Saccharomyces cerevisiae S288C: one gene and its partners. Changing the gene in region 1 together with any one later gene gives a genetic interaction. Each region holds a gene or a part of one and is shown in the gene's direction. Other genes may lie near its edges.

Region 1 (4,745 bases):
CTATGTGGTCCTAATGGTGCCGGAAAATCCACTCTAATGCGATCCATTGCTAATGGCCAAGTTGACGGGTTCCCCACTCAGGATGAATGTCGCACTGTTTATGTGGAACACGATATCGATAATACACATTCGGACATGTCCGTTTTAGATTTTGTATATTCCGGCAATGTAGGAACTAAGGATGTTATTACCTCGAAATTAAAGGAGTTTGGGTTCAGCGATGAAATGATAGAAATGCCAATTGCATCCCTATCTGGAGGTTGGAAAATGAAATTAGCTTTGGCGAGGGCTGTTCTGAAGGACGCTGACATTCTACTATTGGATGAACCAACAAATCATCTAGACACTGTTAATGTGGAGTGGCTGGTAAATTATTTGAATACTTGCGGAATTACATCGGTGATTGTCTCTCATGATTCTGGTTTTCTGGATAAGGTTTGTCAATACATCATACATTATGAGGGTCTTAAATTAAGAAAGTACAAGGGTAATTTATCAGAATTTGTTCAAAAATGTCCTACGGCACAATCATACTATGAATTAGGTGCCTCTGACCTTGAATTTCAATTCCCAACTCCTGGTTATCTAGAAGGTGTCAAAACGAAGCAAAAGGCAATTGTTAAAGTAAGTAATATGACTTTTCAATATCCAGGGACAACTAAACCACAAGTCTCAGATGTTACTTTCCAGTGTTCTCTATCCTCAAGGATTGCAGTTATCGGACCTAATGGGGCTGGTAAGTCCACTTTAATTAATGTTCTTACTGGTGAACTGTTACCAACCAGCGGTGAAGTATATACACACGAGAATTGTCGTATAGCGTATATTAAGCAGCACGCTTTTGCACACATTGAATCGCACTTAGACAAAACTCCATCCGAATACATTCAATGGAGGTTCCAAACTGGTGAGGATAGGGAAACAATGGATAGAGCAAATAGGCAAATAAATGAAAATGACGCAGAGGCCATGAATAAAATATTTAAAATTGAAGGGACCCCAAGAAGGGTTGCAGGAATCCATTCAAGAAGGAAATTTAAAAACACGTATGAGTACGAATGTTCGTTTTTGTTAGGTGAGAACATTGGTATGAAATCTGAAAGATGGGTTCCAATGATGTCTGTCGACAATGCTTGGCTACCAAGGGGCGAATTGATTGAATCCCATTCTAAAATGGTTGCTGAAATTGATATGAAGGAAGCTTTGGCTTCTGGTCAATTCAGGGCTTTAACAAGAAAAGAGATTGAATTACATTGCGCCATGTTGGGGTTGGATTCAGAATTAGTCTCACATTCAAGAATTAGAGGTTTATCGGGTGGGCAAAAGGTTAAATTGGTACTCGCTGCCTGCACGTGGCAAAGACCCCATTTGATTGTTTTAGATGAACCTACGAATTACTTGGACAGAGATTCATTGGGTGCTCTTTCAAAAGCATTAAAAGCTTTTGAAGGTGGTGTCATTATTATTACGCATTCGGCAGAATTTACTAAGAATCTGACTGACGAAGTTTGGGCGGTTAAGGATGGGAAAATGACACCCTCTGGCCATAATTGGGTTGCAGGACAAGGTGCTGGCCCAAGAATTGAGAAAAAAGAAGAAGAGGGTGATAAATTTGATGCTATGGGTAACAAGATTAATAGTGGGAAGAAAAAAAGCAAACTCTCTTCTGCAGAATTGAGAAAGAAAAAGAAGGAGAGAATGAAGAAGAAAAAAGAGATGGGTGATGAATACGTTTCTTCTGATGAAGATTTTTAATTTGAAGTCGAGTACATCTCTTTCAGTGAGTAACTTATATATTTTTGAAGTTAACATCCTTATTCTTTTTTTATATTTTTATTTTTTTTATGTTTATTTTCTATTACTGATTTTCACAAAGAAAGGTAAAAAAAAACATACTTCAGCGGCTATACAACCATATTTAAGTAAATGCACTCAGAGAAAGTATACAAGTAAAAAACCTAAGTAAAGACATAAATATCCCAAAATAATGCAAAAACTCCTCTTTGTCTTTTCTGTGTTATTGACAGTAGTACTAGCAACAGCACCATTTCAGGTACAATGTCCTAGCTCTCCACTTATTAGGGAGGCCAAAGTAAGTTAAACTCTTTGCCACTTTAACAAATATGGGCCAAAACTAACCGAATATACCAAAACTTCGTATTCCTTTGTTTATTAGCATGAACTCTGTCCAGAAGAAACCTTGTATCTGAAGAAAAAAAAAATTAAAACGAAGAATAAACTGATTCAGTTTTTAAAATCCTTGACAGAGGCAAAGTTTAGTTCGAAGTTTTATAAACGCGTGTTGAAAGATCCTCCAAAAATTGGGATTGCTATATCTGGCGGCGGGTACAGATCCATGTTAGTAGGTACCGGATTTATTTCCCAAATGAACGATTATGGCCTTTTTGAATATTCGGATTATATTGCTGGATTATCAGGCGGAAGTTGGATCTTGATGGATTTGGTAGTTCAAAATTTTGAAGTAAAATCCCTGCTACAAGAGTGGGACCTTGAAGAGGATCTTTTATTAGGCATACCGGAATTCGATATTTCCGAAGAAGAAATTGTTACCAATGCAAAAAAGGAGTATAATGATAATGATTTGAAGATGAAGAAGCGTCAGGGGGGTTCTCTGATTACAAGCTCTTCAAATTTTTATGAACAAATAGAGGAGATCATGAATTCCATAGAAGAAATCCCAGAAGACTATATGATAACGAAGAGAAACTTGAATCCATTAGCAAGACTAAAAAAAATATTCTTTCCTAACAACACTTTCACTGGAACTGATGCGAAGATTGAAACCTTTAAAAAAGTGCTAGACTTTTACAAAAGTTTGCATTTGAAAATTAAGCCTAAAAAAATGGAGGGTTTCCAAATATCGTTCACCGATTATTGGGGTAAAGCAATCGTTCAAAGACTAAAAAAAAATTTCGATGACGATCCCAACCATTCCTTTTCGTTTTCGAAGCTTGTAAACTCGTCTAAAAAATTTAAGGAATGCAGTGTGCCGATCCCAATATTCGTTGCAAATTGCAAAAATGGACTTCTTTCAAACGTTATATTTGAATTTACGCCCTTTGAATTTGGATCTTGGGAAAATATCCTCAGACTTTTCGTCAAGTTGCCCTATTTGGGCTCAAAAATTGTTTCTGGAAAGGCCGAGAAGTGTATTAATAACTTTGATGATCTAGGTTTTATTACTGCGACGTCTTCTTCAATATTCAACAATGTGCTCATCTTCATCTGGAATTTGGCTTCTCAGTCCTCCAGAGAAGCAATGAAAGCTTTGAATATGGTTATGGGAATTTTTGGCCTAGGTAAAGAGGAAATATTTAGTATTTCGAAAGACTCCTCGAGATTAGAGACAGACTATGCCGTATATCAACCCAATCCCTTTTATCTTTATCCTGAAAAAGACAATGTCCTAACTAACAAAAATCATTTATACCTTGTAGACGGCGGAGAAGACGGCGAGAATATTCCACTCAGAACATTGGTGATTCCTGAAAGGGAACTAGATGTAATTTTTGTTCTGGATTCTAGTTCGGATATTGACAACTATCCAAACGGCTCCAAGTTAAAAAGGATATTCGAAAAATTAGATGAAGAGAACGTTCATTACCAATTTCCGAACAATGTAAAAACATTCACTCACCCCATTGTTATAGGATGCAATGCTACCAAAAGAACTGGACATGATTCATTTTTGCCAATTATAATTTATCATGCCAATGCGAATCATGGAAACGCATCTAATACGTCGACATTCAAAATAACTTACAATCAGTCTGAAGTTAGCAGTATGTTACCCACTGGAAGGGGAGTGTTTAGCAATGATTATGACCTTTATTATAAAAATTGCTTAGGCTGTATATTAACCAAAAGAACAATGGACAGGCTCCCAAGAAAAAAGAAATTTTCGCCATTTTGCTTACAATGCTTTAAAGACTACTGTTACTCATAAGAGAGTAGACTTTTTCTGTGAAATTTAATGAGTTTTTGTTCACCTTTTTTACTTTTCTTCTATGCCATATGGTTAAATAAAACATGGTTCAAACGCGATTCTTTTTTATTATCTATGTCTTTATTATGTAGTCTTCACTATAATAACCGTTAATGAGCGACATAGTTGCATCAGTTTTTAAGGCCAATTTGATTCAGAACCTTTTCAAGTTCTTCACTTTCCATCTTATCCGAAGACGCGATCTGGTGGCATCTAATACTATGCTTCTCGAATATCGTTTCATCAATTTCAATTTCACCATTTTTTAGGTAAACAATATCAGTAATAAAATCTTGCCATTCAAAGTCATCATTCTCTGAATGGACACCCTTAGATTGCCTATAGCCTGCTATTGCCCTACTCATAGAATCTATGATCATTTGAACGTAGTGTAAACCGTCTAAACCAAAAACCTCTCTATCATATTTATTATTTATGAGCAAAACTTTTTTCGTATTATTAGATTCCAAAATTACTTCAGCAAGATTACCAAGAATAAGGATTGGGAGTAAACTTGTCATTAAAGAACCGATAGAATAAACGACCATGTCAGCTTTTTTCACCTTGGAAATAGCTCTTGGATTTCCCATTGGTTTTATCTCTTCGCCATATGGGTTTATATACAATATCCTATGTACCGGAGCAGGTAGATTCTGTGATTCATCAAGCTTGTCAAAATGCAACTGGGAGTTTTTCAGTTCTGGAAGAATATAGATAGGATTGGCATACTCCTCTTCCG
Region 2 (5,084 bases), 260 kb from region 1:
TTACTACCCACTGATGTTTGGTTAGCACATGTGTAACTACTGCTTATATATGGTGCAGAAAAGTGGCTCGGAATGAACACCTCTTGTACTGAATACTTCATTGATAAGGCACAGGGTCTTCACGCCGCTTAGTATTCGTCGATGCGTGAGCAATTGAAGCTTTTTACGAGGGAAATAGTCGATTTTACATTTCTTATCTTATCTGGCTTTGACTATTACCAGACACTCTTGATAAGCAGTAACAGCAGTAAGAAGAGACCGAAGGATTCTTCTTTGTTATCGGAAAAAAAAAAAAAAAAAAAAAAAAAAAAAAAAGATGTCTTATCTTATCTTTCTTATCTTAAAGACCTACCATTTGTTCCTTTTCTATTTTGGCAGCCCGGGTATTCGCAAAGGGAAAAAAACCCAAGACAGCATTCCTTGTTCATTATGACTATTACAAAGCCAGGAATGATTTCGATGGCCGACATGAATTACGTCGTTTCCAAGAACAGAAGCTTAAACCGTCCTGCTGAGCGGGGCGGTAATCGGTGACCAGGCAGCCTATAAAATGAAGTTGACAACCGAGTAGGCTATCACGTATGCATGGAACGTATATTTTAGCGTGACCAATGCTGAATGATGATAGTCTATAGCTGAAAATATTATCCAATAATATCAGAAAAAGAAAACTCACCAGCACCAGTGCATCCAATCTGTATTCTGTTAGTATTCCTGATACAGTTATTTCCCTCGTTATGGCTCATTCAGACGCCAAAAAGAGCATAGAGTTAGACAACATTGGAGGGAGTAGCTCAGTTACTGTTGACAGTGGCTTTCACTAATAAAAGCCATTGCAATATGATAATGACTAGCAGAAATTTAAATATTAACAGGATTCTTCTTGGATGAGAAACGTACATAATTTCGCAAAAAAGAAAAAAATATTTACTGCTATAAATCCTGTCATCAACAATAGTTTTCTTCCTTGCCAACGTCCTTTAGCACAAATCTCGTAGGTTCTATGCTTAACAGAGCGTCAACAGAAGCGGGTATCGGCTCGACGTGAATAATGGAGATTGTTACATCCATGTGCCGCTCTACCCATTTCATTTCTACGCCTCAATAAAATGTATGAAAAATGAAAAGATGTAAAACAAAACAACAGTTCCGTAACCGCGGAAAGTTGCGTCTCGTAAAAGGAATGAAAAACTCATATACATTCACCAGATATGTTCTATGAAACTCGAAAGCTTCCATCAATTCACACTAAGCTACACGGCTCCTAATAAGCACTGTAATTCCATCAAATGACAGCGTGACTTCTTGAGTAGTGTAGAACCACTCGTCCCACTAAATCACAGCCCTTAATCCGTGCACAGTGAGTTAAAATATGACTTTATTCATGTAAAACGAAATTTCATCATATACTCGATCTTTGTTCTGCTGTTCTTGAGATGTAAATTACGTGAATTCCTCCGGTTAACACCTTCAGAGTCGCATGGTCAGTCAAAAATTCCACGTCTTATCACCGTGGTCTATTCCAACCTTGTAATATAACCAACACATCGATTTTCGGTACATGGGTGTTTGAGATTTATCCTCATTTGACACATGTACCTGAAACTAATCTTTTCTATCCGGGGCTCCGTGGGAAACGTAACCCGAATTCAAATTCCGCCGAGGCCCCTTTTTTATTTTAGCTCACTCACTGGGTACGGAAGCAGATAGAGCTCTGGATACCCGGAAATCAGCAACACCCAGAGACCTTGGCACGGGAATAAGATGCAGTACCGAATGATCCGGGTCCCACAACTAAGTCAAAAGAAAAAAAGAGAGAATTATTTTGCTGCGGTTTTTCGTTACCTATGCTAACTGTTTCCTCCATACCCCTCCACGCCGTTTTCTCTAATACTGTCCCCATTATCTTTTTGCGAACTTTCTTTCGGCTGCTTCCGGCCAGTTTCTCCCCCATGCAACCCCCTGCGCAAAGGAACAGATCTGCTCTTGATCAAGTAAGAAAATGTGGGGGGCAGGCATCTTGAAAAATTCTCTAAAATTTGCATGTATTCTGTTTTCCGCCAAGGGATAGAGCAAGTGGAAGACGTAGTTGAAGGACTTTTCGTAATATATACAGGCATGCTATTTATTTATTTTGTTGGTGCTTTCTTGGTAAATTGCAAAAACTGTTAGTGAAGTTTCTTTGTAACTTTGGCACTAGTTGTTACACAGGCAGTAACACTAAGCACTATTTTTTTACGTTGTTTTCGCAGACAGCAGAAGAGATAAACGGACCTATTCAGAAAATGTCCTCCAGCATCTTTGAAATGACAATAGACCACGACGGTATGGATAGTACGGGGCTGAAGCTTTCACAGACAGCCTCATCCATATCCATGGGCGACGAGTTTCTTTGTTCCAGTACTACTAGTAATTCTATTCTGGATTCTCCGCTTCCGAAAGTGACTTTTAACCATATCGATAGCATAACAGACATTAACACAAACATCATGAACGAAATAGTGGAGCCACAATCCGGAGTAGATGTTGATGTTGCTGACAAAAACGTGCTTTACTGCATAGATCCGTACCCAGTGGAACCTCCGTGTTATGATTTTGCGAATCCGTCTAAAGTCATTAGGTACCCTATATATGAGCATTGTCGTCCGTGCCTCACTTCTGTGAAACCTCCCAGTTATACACCGTCTGTAGAACACTATACTGTGGTTTCTATGAAGATGGAAAAACTATCGCCCTTTGAAAATGCTTCTTCTCGATTATGGAACAACTTTATTCTTCAAATAAACTCTACGCAGATAAACTTTTATTCTATTGACGATTCATTAACCAGGCATATTAAAAACTATCGTGGTGGTGACATGTTTGACCATTCCCACCATTCCAAAACTGCTAGCGATCGCCATCATTCGGCTCGGTCGTTATTAAATGCGTTCACGACGAAATCCACTTACCAATTCGATAAATATGACAAGGAAAGGATATGCGGGGAAATAGCACGAGACGAGCACAAATTTTTATCAGATGAGCGCCTCTTTAAGAGTTACTCCCTGCAATGTGCCAAAGTTGGTCTGCCTATAGATTATTCCTCTAGAGATTTTGTTTTAAGAATGCGTTGTGAGGGACAACAGTTTCTAGTGCAGTTTTCTCATGTAGACGAATTGATCTATTGGGCTATGTATTTGAACATGGGTATATCCCTGTCCTTGGATCTGGAATTGAGGGAAATGCCCACCTATAGAAGCGTTCCCAGAAGGAGACATCCGAGGGCAAGAAGATTTAAGCAACACAATAAGAACAAAAACAAAAACAAGAGCAGACAAAATAGTGATAGAAATGATTCTCGCTCCCACTCTTTACTTTTAAGAAGATCACACACCTCTTCTGTTGTAACAAAAGTGGCCACCGGCAACGAACGTCCGACAAACAAATCAAGATCAAGAAGTTTAAGCTTGCTACCTCCCTCTGTATCCGATGCGAGTCATGACTCCAATGGGCCCAATGACTCTGGTTCATTGGCAGGGGAGAGTTCTCAAACTGATTTTTGTGGCTTATTTACATCAAAACTAAGAAATTTCTTTAAAACAGATTCCAGTTCGAGAAAAAACTCTAATATGGACATTGGACAAAAAATGAGATCGAAGGAACTGAATAGTGTTCAAGAAGAAATCGATGACAATGGTAGTACTACTAATACCAATACTTCTGTTCTATCTTCCACTTTTTCTCCCACAGCACATTCTGTTTTAACGGCACAAACATCCATCCATGAAAACTTCAGAAGTAGATCGAATTCCAACCCTATAGATCCTTTGCGCTGTGATCGGTCAGTGTTGAAAATTAATAATTTTGAACCGGTATACGAGGGAACAGGAAGGTCAACTATTTCGAATTCTGCTGAGCGTACGAATCGTGAAGAAAAGTTAAACCGTGGCAATGAAGATGTAAATGGAGATGAAGATGATGACGAAGACGAAGACGATGCTAATTACGAAGAGGATGATGAAGATGGATATGTTGAGGATGATGACATCAATAGATTGGTATATTTGGATGAAAGAGAATCTCGCTATGAGAATGCGGACGTTGAGTACGGTACAATATTCAGTACGAAAAGCTTTTCCGTGACTGGTTGTTTAAATCATGATTTTCCAAAGAAATTGTCACTAAAATGTGGAAATAAGAATCAATCCAGTAACGATTCGAAGTGGGCACCGGCGACACAACTAGTTTCAAGGAAAAGATATATCAAAGACTCATTAAGATGCATCAAACCGTTAACGGAAGACCACCCATGGGTAGGTAAGATTATTTTCAAACCGGCACTGCCACCAGCATTCGAAACGAATAATCCACCTATAAGAGTTTATAGTGGTGAAGATAGTACGGACTTGATGCACGTGAAAAACCATTATTTAAAGCCATACATAGTGGGATCCTGCGGGTTTTTGAAAACTGGCTCAAAACTTTTTCACTTTTACGATAGAACTAACGACCTTACGAATTTATGAAATATATGTGTTTTTAATGATTAAATAATAGTCAAAAATATAATTAAAAAAAAAATCGAATGTAATGGGTGGTTCATCTTTCATTTCCTGCGGAGGGAAAGGCGTATCAGAAAAGAAAAACATGAAAAAATCTGTTAAAGTGATAACTACAAATACATATGTATAAAAGTATGAAAAAGTATGGAAAGGGTGAGCTAATGATGAGAGAATTGGAATAAATTAGTTTGCCAGCAACACGTAATAAATGAAAGGGTAGATATTGATTTGACCTCTTGGTTGTCGTCAAAAATTAAGCGATAACACAGGCGGGATCCCAGAAGAGGCCCTTGATTATATAGTTGTCTTTCTTTTCAGAGGATTTATCCTTCTGAGTGGCTTGTGTGGAAGCAGTGGTGATCGGTTGCATTAAGGTTGGTAGTTATTGTTGTATGAAGATGATAGCTCGCTGGTGTCTCTAGTGATGTCAATGAACGGATGAACGACAGAAGAAGTGGATGGAAATAAAATGGTTATTTATCAGATATTTATATACAAAATTACGTGGTAATGCAACAGCTTTTTCCTCTCGCTTTGTTC
Region 3 (3,212 bases), on another chromosome or scaffold:
ATTCGGTATCGAGTGGTACGAGCAATAGCGAAGATGAAGTAGATTCACCTTCGATGGAAAAAAATTCTATCGTTCATATGCCAGGTGATTTTATCTACTTCAATCCCAAGTCAAACGCTTCTAAACCTATCACTGCAAAGGCGGCGCCATTATCGGCTAATAACTCCACACATAAAAACAAGGAAGTTATCACTGCACCCACAGGGCCTCGTGTACCCTTCACAGAGTTCTTTCAGAAGGAAGACGACAAGAAATTCCACATTCTCATTGGTGCGACGGGCTCAGTTGCCACAATAAAAGTACCTCTAATTATTGATAAACTTTTCAAGATATATGGGCCTGAGAAAATCTCTATTCAGTTGATTGTCACAAAACCCGCTGAGCATTTTTTGAAAGGGCTCAAAATGTCAACACACGTTAAAATTTGGAGGGAGGAAGACGCTTGGGTATTCGACGCTGTGAATAAGAATGATACTAGCTTGAGTCTGAACTTGATATTGCACCATGAATTAAGAAAATGGGCTGATATTTTCCTGATTGCGCCTTTGTCAGCTAACACACTTGCTAAACTGGCCAATGGTATATGTAACAATTTGCTAACTTCTGTGATGAGAGATTGGTCACCACTGACCCCAGTGTTGATTGCGCCTGCAATGAATACATTCATGTATATCAATCCTATGACAAAGAAACACCTGACGAGTTTAGTGCAAGACTATCCGTTCATCCAAGTTTTGAAACCGGTGGAAAAGGTATTAATATGCGGAGATATTGGTATGGGTGGTATGAGAGAATGGACAGATATTGTAGAGATCGTTAGGAGGAGAATCAATGAAATACGGAAAGCTAGGGACGAGGAAACTGGTGATAAAGAGCAAGAACAAGAAGAACAAGAGGGTGCTGACAATGAGGACGACGATGATGAGGATGACGAAGAGGATGAGGAGGACGAGGAGGAGGAAGAAGCTCTAAATGAAACAGCATCCGATGAGAGCAATGACGAGGAAGACGAAGAGGATGAGGAAGACGTGAAAACCGAAGTTTAAATGCATTAGAAAAGAGTATTTTGTGTTATGTTTTATGTTTTATTTTTTTTTTTTTTGTTTATTCCTTAAAAGAAGATTACTGCTTTTTCATTCCCTAGTTTCTAAATTGAGTGCCTAAATAAGATTAAATAAATATGTATGTGGAAACTAGGGAGGGTATGTTTTTATTTACAGGAATAGTTGTAGTAATTCAAAAGCCTAAAGATTTCCAGAACCGTAATCTAAAGCCCTCAAAACTGTTTAATTTTGGTCTAACATCGAGATAAATAAGTGGTTGTTGCTGCGAGTTTGCATCGTTCAGATCGGTGGAATAGAAATCGATTACGTAGTCGACGGTTTTACCGCATCTATCTATCTGCCAATCATGTCTATCAAAAGGTTTGGCCAGGTGCAAGATACGGGACCTGAACCAGGCCCTTGGTGTCAGTTTTTTGGAATCACCTTTAAAATTTGTTAATTTGATACCGCCACACGCTTCACCACCCTGCTTGTCTTCCCAGCTTTTAATGTAGTTCCAAACCCGCTCATTGATGGAGTTATGTAAAGGCACAACCACCTTCATGTCATCTGAGTTCGGATCCCAATTTTTTTTCATCATTGCCTCGTAAAATTGTTTCTCCGACGGGTATATCCAGTTTCTGTCAGAATTCGTCCTTGGTATGGTGGAAACCTCTCTGGACTGAGAGAGATCCACCGTGGTGTGATATTCAGGCGTTTTATCGTTATCTTGTGGGTTTGCAGAGCACTCTAGTTGATTGCCTGGGGCAGTAGCACCAGGATGCGCTTCGTTGCCATGTTCTCGTAGCCATAACTTTTTGGTTTCCTCATCTACGGGGCATTTCCCCTGTTGGTCTGAAGACATCATAATATGTAAAATAGAGACGAATGAAAAGCACGTGAACTAACAAACTATTTACTACTACCGAAATGTGATGCTTAAGCCTTTGGCCTCTGCAATACTAGCGATTGCTTTTTCCCTGATTAGTAAGCTACATCATTTATACTACATCTTTCTGTCTTAGAAGGCTTACAAACATCGAAAAGCTGGAACTTTGATTTCGAAAAAAATATGCCGTTACCCGTTGCGGGTCCCTTTTTTTTAGAAGGCCGGCCCAGAAGTCGCCATTATTTTTAGTCATTACAGTAGCCCTGTTGGGTAAGGATGCGATGCAATACATGTCAAGAGGTGTTGTATATAAACCACAATATCTACCATCAATGAGCTATATATACTTTTCTTACTGAAAAAAAAAACTACAAAACCAAGTAAAAAAAGAACAATATGTCACTACAAAGCAACAGTGTAAAACCAACAGAAATTCCTCTCTCAGAGATCAGACGCCCCCTAGCGCCTGTGTTGGATCCTCAAAAGATCGACGCAATGGTGGCCACAATGAAGGGCATTCCCACCGCTAGCAAGACATGCTCTCTAGAACAGGCTGAGGCGGCTGCCTCAGCCGGGGAACTGCCGCCCGTGGACGTGCTGGGCGTGCGAGTCAAGGGACAGACGCTATATTATGCCTTCGGCGGCTGCCACCGTCTACAGGCATACGACCGCCGGGCTCGCGAAACGCAGAACGCCGCCTTCCCCGTGCGCTGCAGGGTGCTACCGGCCACTCCCCGCCAAATCCGCATGTACCTGGGCAGCAGTCTCGACATCGAATAATGATTACGCTAATAACACTACATAAGAAACATAGATAAATTATAATTCACTAATACAAAATCCCTCAATTTAATTAATCAATTTCTTATTCAACAACTAGAGTAGGCACTAGCAGTTTGTGCGACCCTCGGCGCCGGAGAGGTACAAGGGACCTGGCGGTTGGGCCTTCCTGCCAGCTTCTCCCCCCCTTCTCGGCATTCACTCAGCGTTCATTGGCTCAATCACGCGCCAAGCGGATTCCCAGAAAAATACAAAAAAAAGTTGCCATAATACAATGGCGGATATTACAATATATATAGCTTGCGCTTTAAAAAGAAGTGTTAGCACGCATTGGGTGTTTGTACTGTATTCCTCCACTTAAGATAACGAATACACATATAGATATACAATATATTATACGTGGACATCTACGGAAAGGAAGAAAAAAAACAAAAGGAAAAGGAAGGATACCATATACAATGTTGTCAAGAGTAGCTAAACGTGCGTTTTCCTCTACAGTT
Region 4 (6,030 bases), on another chromosome or scaffold:
CTAGCTGCTTGATCTTTATGTCTAAATTCGATTTTTCACGACTATTTGCCTCCTCTGCATTGGCCATAGAGGCCATTTGCATTGAAATATGTTGTTGTCCGTCACACCATTCGGGCTCATAGTCCGTCGACGTAGACGAGATAAAGCTATATCTGTTGTTGTTGTTATTGCCTTTGAGACCATATTGAACGAACCCGTTATTATCCGTAGGTAAATTGTCTAGATTCAGATCCTTAGGCAATTCGTTCACTTCGGTGCTTAGACACTGAGTGGAGCCGCCGGAGACGACTCTAAGTCCTTTGTCCTCGACCTTTCGCACCCCATGATTTTCTGGATCTTCCAAAGGAGTAGCAGGAACAGGAACGTATGAGGGGAGCAACCCTTCGGCGTTTTTCCGTAATATCGGTTCTTCCGCACAGACTTTGGCCTCAAATGAAGGGGGATTGCGTTCTTTCTTTTGTACTTGCGCAACGGATTCTGAACTGCGCAGCTGCTCTAGTTTGTCCTTGATGCTTTGTTTAATGATGTTTTTCTCTATGTTCAATGGATCAGGGTTTGAATTCTGGCCTTCACTAGTAGTTTTCTTGCTATTCTTCAATAGGGCAGATAGCAATGGCAGATTACTGGTTGTTTGAGATAGGTACTCGGGTTTTAACATCTTTGGAGTGTTGTTCAAAAACTGAAACCTAATAGGCGATACAGACCTCATAGTGTCAGAGCCCCTTCTTTGTTTAGAACGTCCACCTCTTGATAACTCGCTCAATTTAGAGAGTGATGTTGGATATAACAAGGAATTACCAATCGGGCCAGTGTCTAATTTTAGCTTCGTAGGTGAGTTCAATAGATTTTGAAAAGAGCCTGCATTTCTTTGGTCATCCAAACAAAAGGACATTGGTGAGAGTTTTGGAGTAAGTTGTTCCGATTTCATTGTTGGAGAATTCATTTTTTTAGTTGTTTAGTTTATTAGTTGTGTTTTTTTTTTTTGATTTTGCAATGAGTACTGGCTTGTAACAAGTTAAAAGAAAAGAAGATTAGTTAAGAACAACGGAATTGAAACGAAAGTAAAATAGTTGGAACCGAGGATAACTATGTTGATTTAAAAGACTTCACACGCGATTCTTTTTCCTTACTGCTATTTAGGAAGATGTGCCCCTCCAAACCTTTCCTTTATTCCCAAGGCAATCAAAATAACAGAAAATACAGCAGTAATAAAGCTTAATTCTCTAGGCTCACTTAAACTGAGCAACAATTTGTTGATCGTACGTGTTATTTAATACTATCAGGAAAAAATAATCTAAATGTGAGAAAAACTTCTATCTGTAACCACTTTGTCTTGAATGAACGTAGAAAATTTAAAAACGATCAAGCTTGCGTGAGAGAACTTGTAAAGTAAGGAAATCTGATTTCTAAACCCATAATGATTCTTCATCGAGCTTTCTTGCCAATTGGCTAATTAGAACTCTTTTTAGTTTATTTCCCGAAAGGGGTATTTATATTTTGCCCGTTTGGGACAAAATTAACCCTGCTTACACCAGGGTTTATCTAGAAATAAAATAGGTCATTGTTTTGAGATGACTTGGAAAAACTTAACCCTGATGTGACTGTAACATAACATCTAAGAAAAAAGGGACTAAAAGTCAACAGAAGGAGTAGATCGGAAAGTCATTGCATTTATCACTGATAAAGTCATGGCTGTCAAAAAGTAAACATCAGAAGTTCAGTTGCACTTTATGCTTTGGTGAAAATCCGTATAACTTAAAAGAATGCCCATCACTCAAATCATATCAGCGTCTGATAGCGAGGCGGGGCCAAAACCAAGCATTTCGTTGGTACCTGATAAGCCATCTGAGCCAGAAACTTCCCCTAGGCATCATCGCCTTTCAAGGTCACTTTCGAAGTTCAAGCGCTGGAGAGGAAGATCAAATAGCAGTTTATCGATGGGGTCGTCTGAGCAGCAAGAACTGCAGGACAGTCCAAATGAAGCCCGTAGTGATGATGACGAAAACGGTTACAATAACGATAATGCAGATGACTTGGCGAAATCCAAGTATATGATGAAAAGTATTGCCGGTTTATTAACTACTGCTAGTGTGTATGCAGGGATGAATAATGCTCAAGAAATGAATGTGTTGTCGCAAGTTGATTCTGAAGAATCTGATTCCAGTGATAGTTTCCAGGAAAACATTGGTCGAAATGAGGTAAAAAGCAAAAAGGAAAATCTCAAAACTAAATCGCATCCGGAAGTACCAAGATTAGACAAAAGAAAGCCAACTTTATTCGACTTCTCAATAACTAGGGAAAAACTGTCAAAAGACAATGTGGCTAAGTTGAGACAGCGGTTTTGTTTAGACGAACAGGAACCATTTTTGAATGATTTCCCTGCATGGCTACTTAAAGATGTGTTGGTTCAAGGCCATATTTTTATTACAACAAAACATTTCCTATTCTTTGCATATTTACCTAAGAATCCTCGGTCGGTTAAAATGTCTGGAAACCTTAATATCAGGACAAAACTAATTAGGTCTACCAGGTATTGGTGCGTACTAAAGAATCATTTATTTTCTATGTATACCTCATCAACTGAGCTATACTTTCCGGTTTTAACCATAGATTTGAGGGAGGTCCAAAAAATTGAAACACAAAAACATACCTTAAACGGGAGTGCTACGAAAACATTTAAGCTTTACACAGATGAAAGTACATTCAAATTCAATGCAGATTCAGAGTTCTCCGCTAAATCGTGGGTGAACGCTTTGAAAAAGGAGCAGTTCGCAGCTCAGAATTCTGAAAACAATTCGATAAGTTTAAAAATTCCGCTGCCCAACATTATAGAGATAGATGATCAACCTATAGTCAACAAAGCTTTAACATTGAGATTAAGAGCTTTGGAGAGCTCACAGACCTATGCTATCGATGATTTCATGTTTGTTTTCATGGATGGGTCCGGTAGTCAGGTCAAAGAGAGCCTTGGCGAACAGTTGGCTATATTGCAGAAATCCGGTGTTAATACACTTTATTATGATATTCCAGCCAAGAAATCAAAATCAAGTTTTGGAAAAGAGACACCAGCTACAGTTGAGCAAAAGAATAACGGCGAGGATTCAAAATATTTGAATGTTCCAACTTCGGCTGTGCCTTCTTCGGAAAATGGGAAAAAGAGTCGATTCAGATTTAGAGAAAGAAGCAATAGTTGGTTTCGTAGAGCTAAACCTCTTGAAGATTCTCAAGTTGAGGATGTGGAGGAAATATATAAAGATGCGGCGAATGATATAGACTCTTCTGTGCATTCCACGATTCATATTCATGAACAAGAAGATAGTCAAGAGCAAACCGTAGCTTGGAAGCCAAGTCACCTCAAAAATTTTGCCGAAATGTGGGCTGCCAAACCAATACACTACCGGAACAAGTTTATCCCGTTTCAAAAGGATGATACCTATTTGATTAAAGAAACAGAAGAGGTTTCTGCTAACGAGCGGTTCAGGTACCATTTCAAGTTTAATAAAGAGAAGTCACTAATCAGTACTTACTACACATACCTGAATAGAAATGTTCCCGTTTATGGTAAGATTTACGTATCCAATGATACGGTGTGCTTCAGATCGTTATTACCAGGGTCTAATACATACATGGTTTTGCCATTGGTTGATGTGGAGACATGCTATAAAGAAAAGGGATTTCGATTTGGTTATTTTGTATTGGTTATAGTAATTCACGGTCACGAGGAGCTATTTTTTGAATTTAGCACTGAGGTCGCCAGGGATGATATTGAACGCATTCTTTTAAAGCTCTTAGATAACATATATGCAAGCAGTGCAGAAGGATCGAATATATCGAGTGCTTCTCTTGGCGATGTTCAGCATAACCCTGACTCAGCGAAGTTGAAGCTTTTCGAAGATAAAATTAATGCCGAGGGCTTTGAGGTACCGTTAATGATTGATGAGAATCCGCACTATAAAACAAGCATAAAACCAAACAAGAGTTATAAGTTTGGATTATTGACGATTGGCTCAAGAGGGGATGTTCAACCATATATTGCACTTGGAAAGGGCTTGATAAAAGAAGGTCACCAAGTGGTAATAATTACACATTCGGAATTTAGAGACTTTGTTGAAAGTCATGGAATCCAGTTTGAAGAGATTGCTGGTAACCCAGTGGAGTTGATGTCCTTGATGGTGGAAAATGAATCAATGAATGTTAAAATGCTGAGAGAAGCTTCGAGCAAATTTAGGGGATGGATCGATGCTCTTTTACAGACATCTTGGGAGGTTTGTAACAGAAGAAAATTTGATATTCTGATTGAATCACCCTCAGCTATGGTTGGTATTCATATTACTGAAGCATTGCAAATTCCTTATTTTCGAGCATTTACCATGCCATGGACAAGAACAAGAGCATATCCACATGCATTTATTGTACCAGATCAAAAAAGGGGCGGTAACTATAACTACCTGACACATGTCCTTTTCGAAAACGTTTTCTGGAAGGGAATTAGTGGGCAAGTAAACAAGTGGAGAGTTGAAACTCTAGGTTTAGGGAAAACAAATCTTTTTCTTTTACAGCAGAATAATGTTCCTTTCTTATACAATGTTTCTCCTACAATTTTTCCGCCATCAATTGATTTTAGCGAGTGGGTGAGAGTTACAGGATATTGGTTTCTTGATGATAAGAGTACTTTCAAACCGCCAGCAGAATTACAAGAATTTATTTCTGAGGCAAGATCAAAAGGAAAAAAATTGGTTTATATCGGGTTTGGTTCGATTGTAGTCTCTAATGCCAAAGAAATGACGGAAGCTCTTGTCGAAGCAGTTATGGAAGCAGATGTATACTGCATTTTAAATAAGGGATGGTCAGAAAGGTTGGGCGATAAGGCGGCAAAGAAGACAGAGGTAGATCTTCCAAGAAACATTTTAAATATCGGAAACGTTCCCCATGATTGGTTGTTCCCACAAGTCGATGCTGCCGTTCACCATGGTGGTTCTGGAACTACTGGAGCTTCATTACGTGCTGGTTTACCTACTGTTATAAAACCTTTCTTTGGTGATCAGTTCTTTTATGCAGGTAGAGTAGAAGACATTGGAGTTGGTATTGCTTTAAAGAAACTTAACGCTCAAACATTAGCAGATGCTTTAAAAGTAGCTACGACGAACAAAATAATGAAGGATAGAGCTGGATTAATAAAGAAGAAAATTTCCAAAGAAGATGGGATTAAAACTGCAATAAGTGCAATTTACAACGAACTTGAGTATGCAAGAAGCGTTACTTTATCAAGAGTGAAAACTCCGCGCAAGAAAGAGGAAAATGTAGATGCAACCAAACTGACACCTGCTGAAACAACGGATGAAGGGTGGACGATGATTTAAACCGAGTATCACTCTCACTTTTATAAAAAAGCGTAACATCTAATCATTAATAGTAATAAATAATTAATTTTTTTTTTGTAAGTTTCAGTCATATTTGTACTCAGGAAAGATATGAAAACGATAATGTTGATAATAAGAATAATAGTAACAATAATAAAAAAGTAAAAAAATAAAGCTTAATTTGAGTTTCCTAAACGTACCGTATGTTGTGCATCTAATATTAATTTAATGTGTATAAAGGCGTACAAGGAGCTTTAAAAAAAAACTGTTTGTGTAAATTACATTGGGCATCATTTAAATTATAGAATACACAATTTCATATTCAGCAAACATAATGCGATAATTAATTGTCTTCCAACACATACCATAACTGTGGCATAGAAAAGTGATTCCATACTGCGGCAACTTCTTATACTTCCCGGGCAACACTATTGTCCAAATCTATCACTCCCCCTTTTCCTTCCTCGTCCTGCTGTTCGGCAAGCAGCGCATTTAGTTCACTATTAGGAATGGCGATTAGATCTCGGAATGAACCGGTTTCAACCACTGAGCCATGTTTTCCTAACACAATCACCCTAGTACTGTGTTTGATCGTCGAAAGCCTATGTGCAATTGATATAGTAGTGAACCCCCTTTCCACACGTCTCTGAAGATTTTTGGCAACTATTTC

The links.
Region 2: mutations in SPO1 (region 1) and MPF1 together harm fitness more than expected from each alone (negative genetic interaction), as found in Saccharomyces cerevisiae (one large-scale study listed by BioGRID).
Region 3: mutations in SPO1 (region 1) and SRX1 together harm fitness more than expected from each alone (negative genetic interaction), as found in Saccharomyces cerevisiae (one large-scale study listed by BioGRID).
Region 4: of SPO1 (region 1) and ATG26, extra expression of one rescues a mutant of the other (dosage rescue), as found in Saccharomyces cerevisiae (one study listed by BioGRID).

What each region holds. Positions count from the first base shown.
Region 1 is NC_001146.8:607,699-612,443, forward strand, and holds SPO1 (putative carboxylic ester hydrolase), read left to right. Parts: upstream 1-1,987; coding exon 1,988-2,092; intron 2,093-2,176; coding exon 2,177-3,967; downstream 3,968-4,745. Other genes in the region: HEF3 (translation elongation factor EF-3), read left to right, coding at 1-1,755; YNL011C (uncharacterized protein), read right to left, coding at 4,138-4,745. UniProt on the Saccharomyces cerevisiae protein: Regulates spindle pole duplication in meiosis I, but not in mitosis. Required for meiosis I, meiosis II chromosome segregation and spore formation. Binds phosphatidylinositol (4)P mono- and polyphosphates.
Region 2 is NC_001146.8:352,244-357,327, reverse strand, and holds MPF1 (Mpf1p), read left to right. Parts: upstream 1-2,285; coding exon 2,286-4,508; downstream 4,509-5,084. Other genes in the region: YNL143C (uncharacterized protein), read left to right, coding at 142-534; MFA2 (mating pheromone a), read right to left, coding at 4,798-4,914.
Region 3 is NC_001143.9:275,953-279,164, forward strand, and holds SRX1 (sulfiredoxin), read left to right. Parts: upstream 1-2,328; coding exon 2,329-2,712; downstream 2,713-3,212. Other genes in the region: phosphopantothenoylcysteine decarboxylase complex subunit CAB3, read left to right, coding at 1-1,046; cytochrome c1 heme lyase CYT2, read right to left, coding at 1,237-1,911; malate dehydrogenase MDH1, read left to right, coding at 3,171-3,212. UniProt on the Saccharomyces cerevisiae protein: Contributes to oxidative stress resistance by reducing cysteine-sulfinic acid formed under exposure to oxidants in the peroxiredoxin TSA1.
Region 4 is NC_001144.5:530,127-536,156, reverse strand, and holds ATG26 (sterol 3-beta-glucosyltransferase), read left to right. Parts: upstream 1-1,763; coding exon 1,764-5,360; downstream 5,361-6,030. Other genes in the region: MMR1 (Mmr1p), read right to left, coding at 1-943; ATP-binding cassette permease MDL1, read right to left, coding at 5,770-6,030.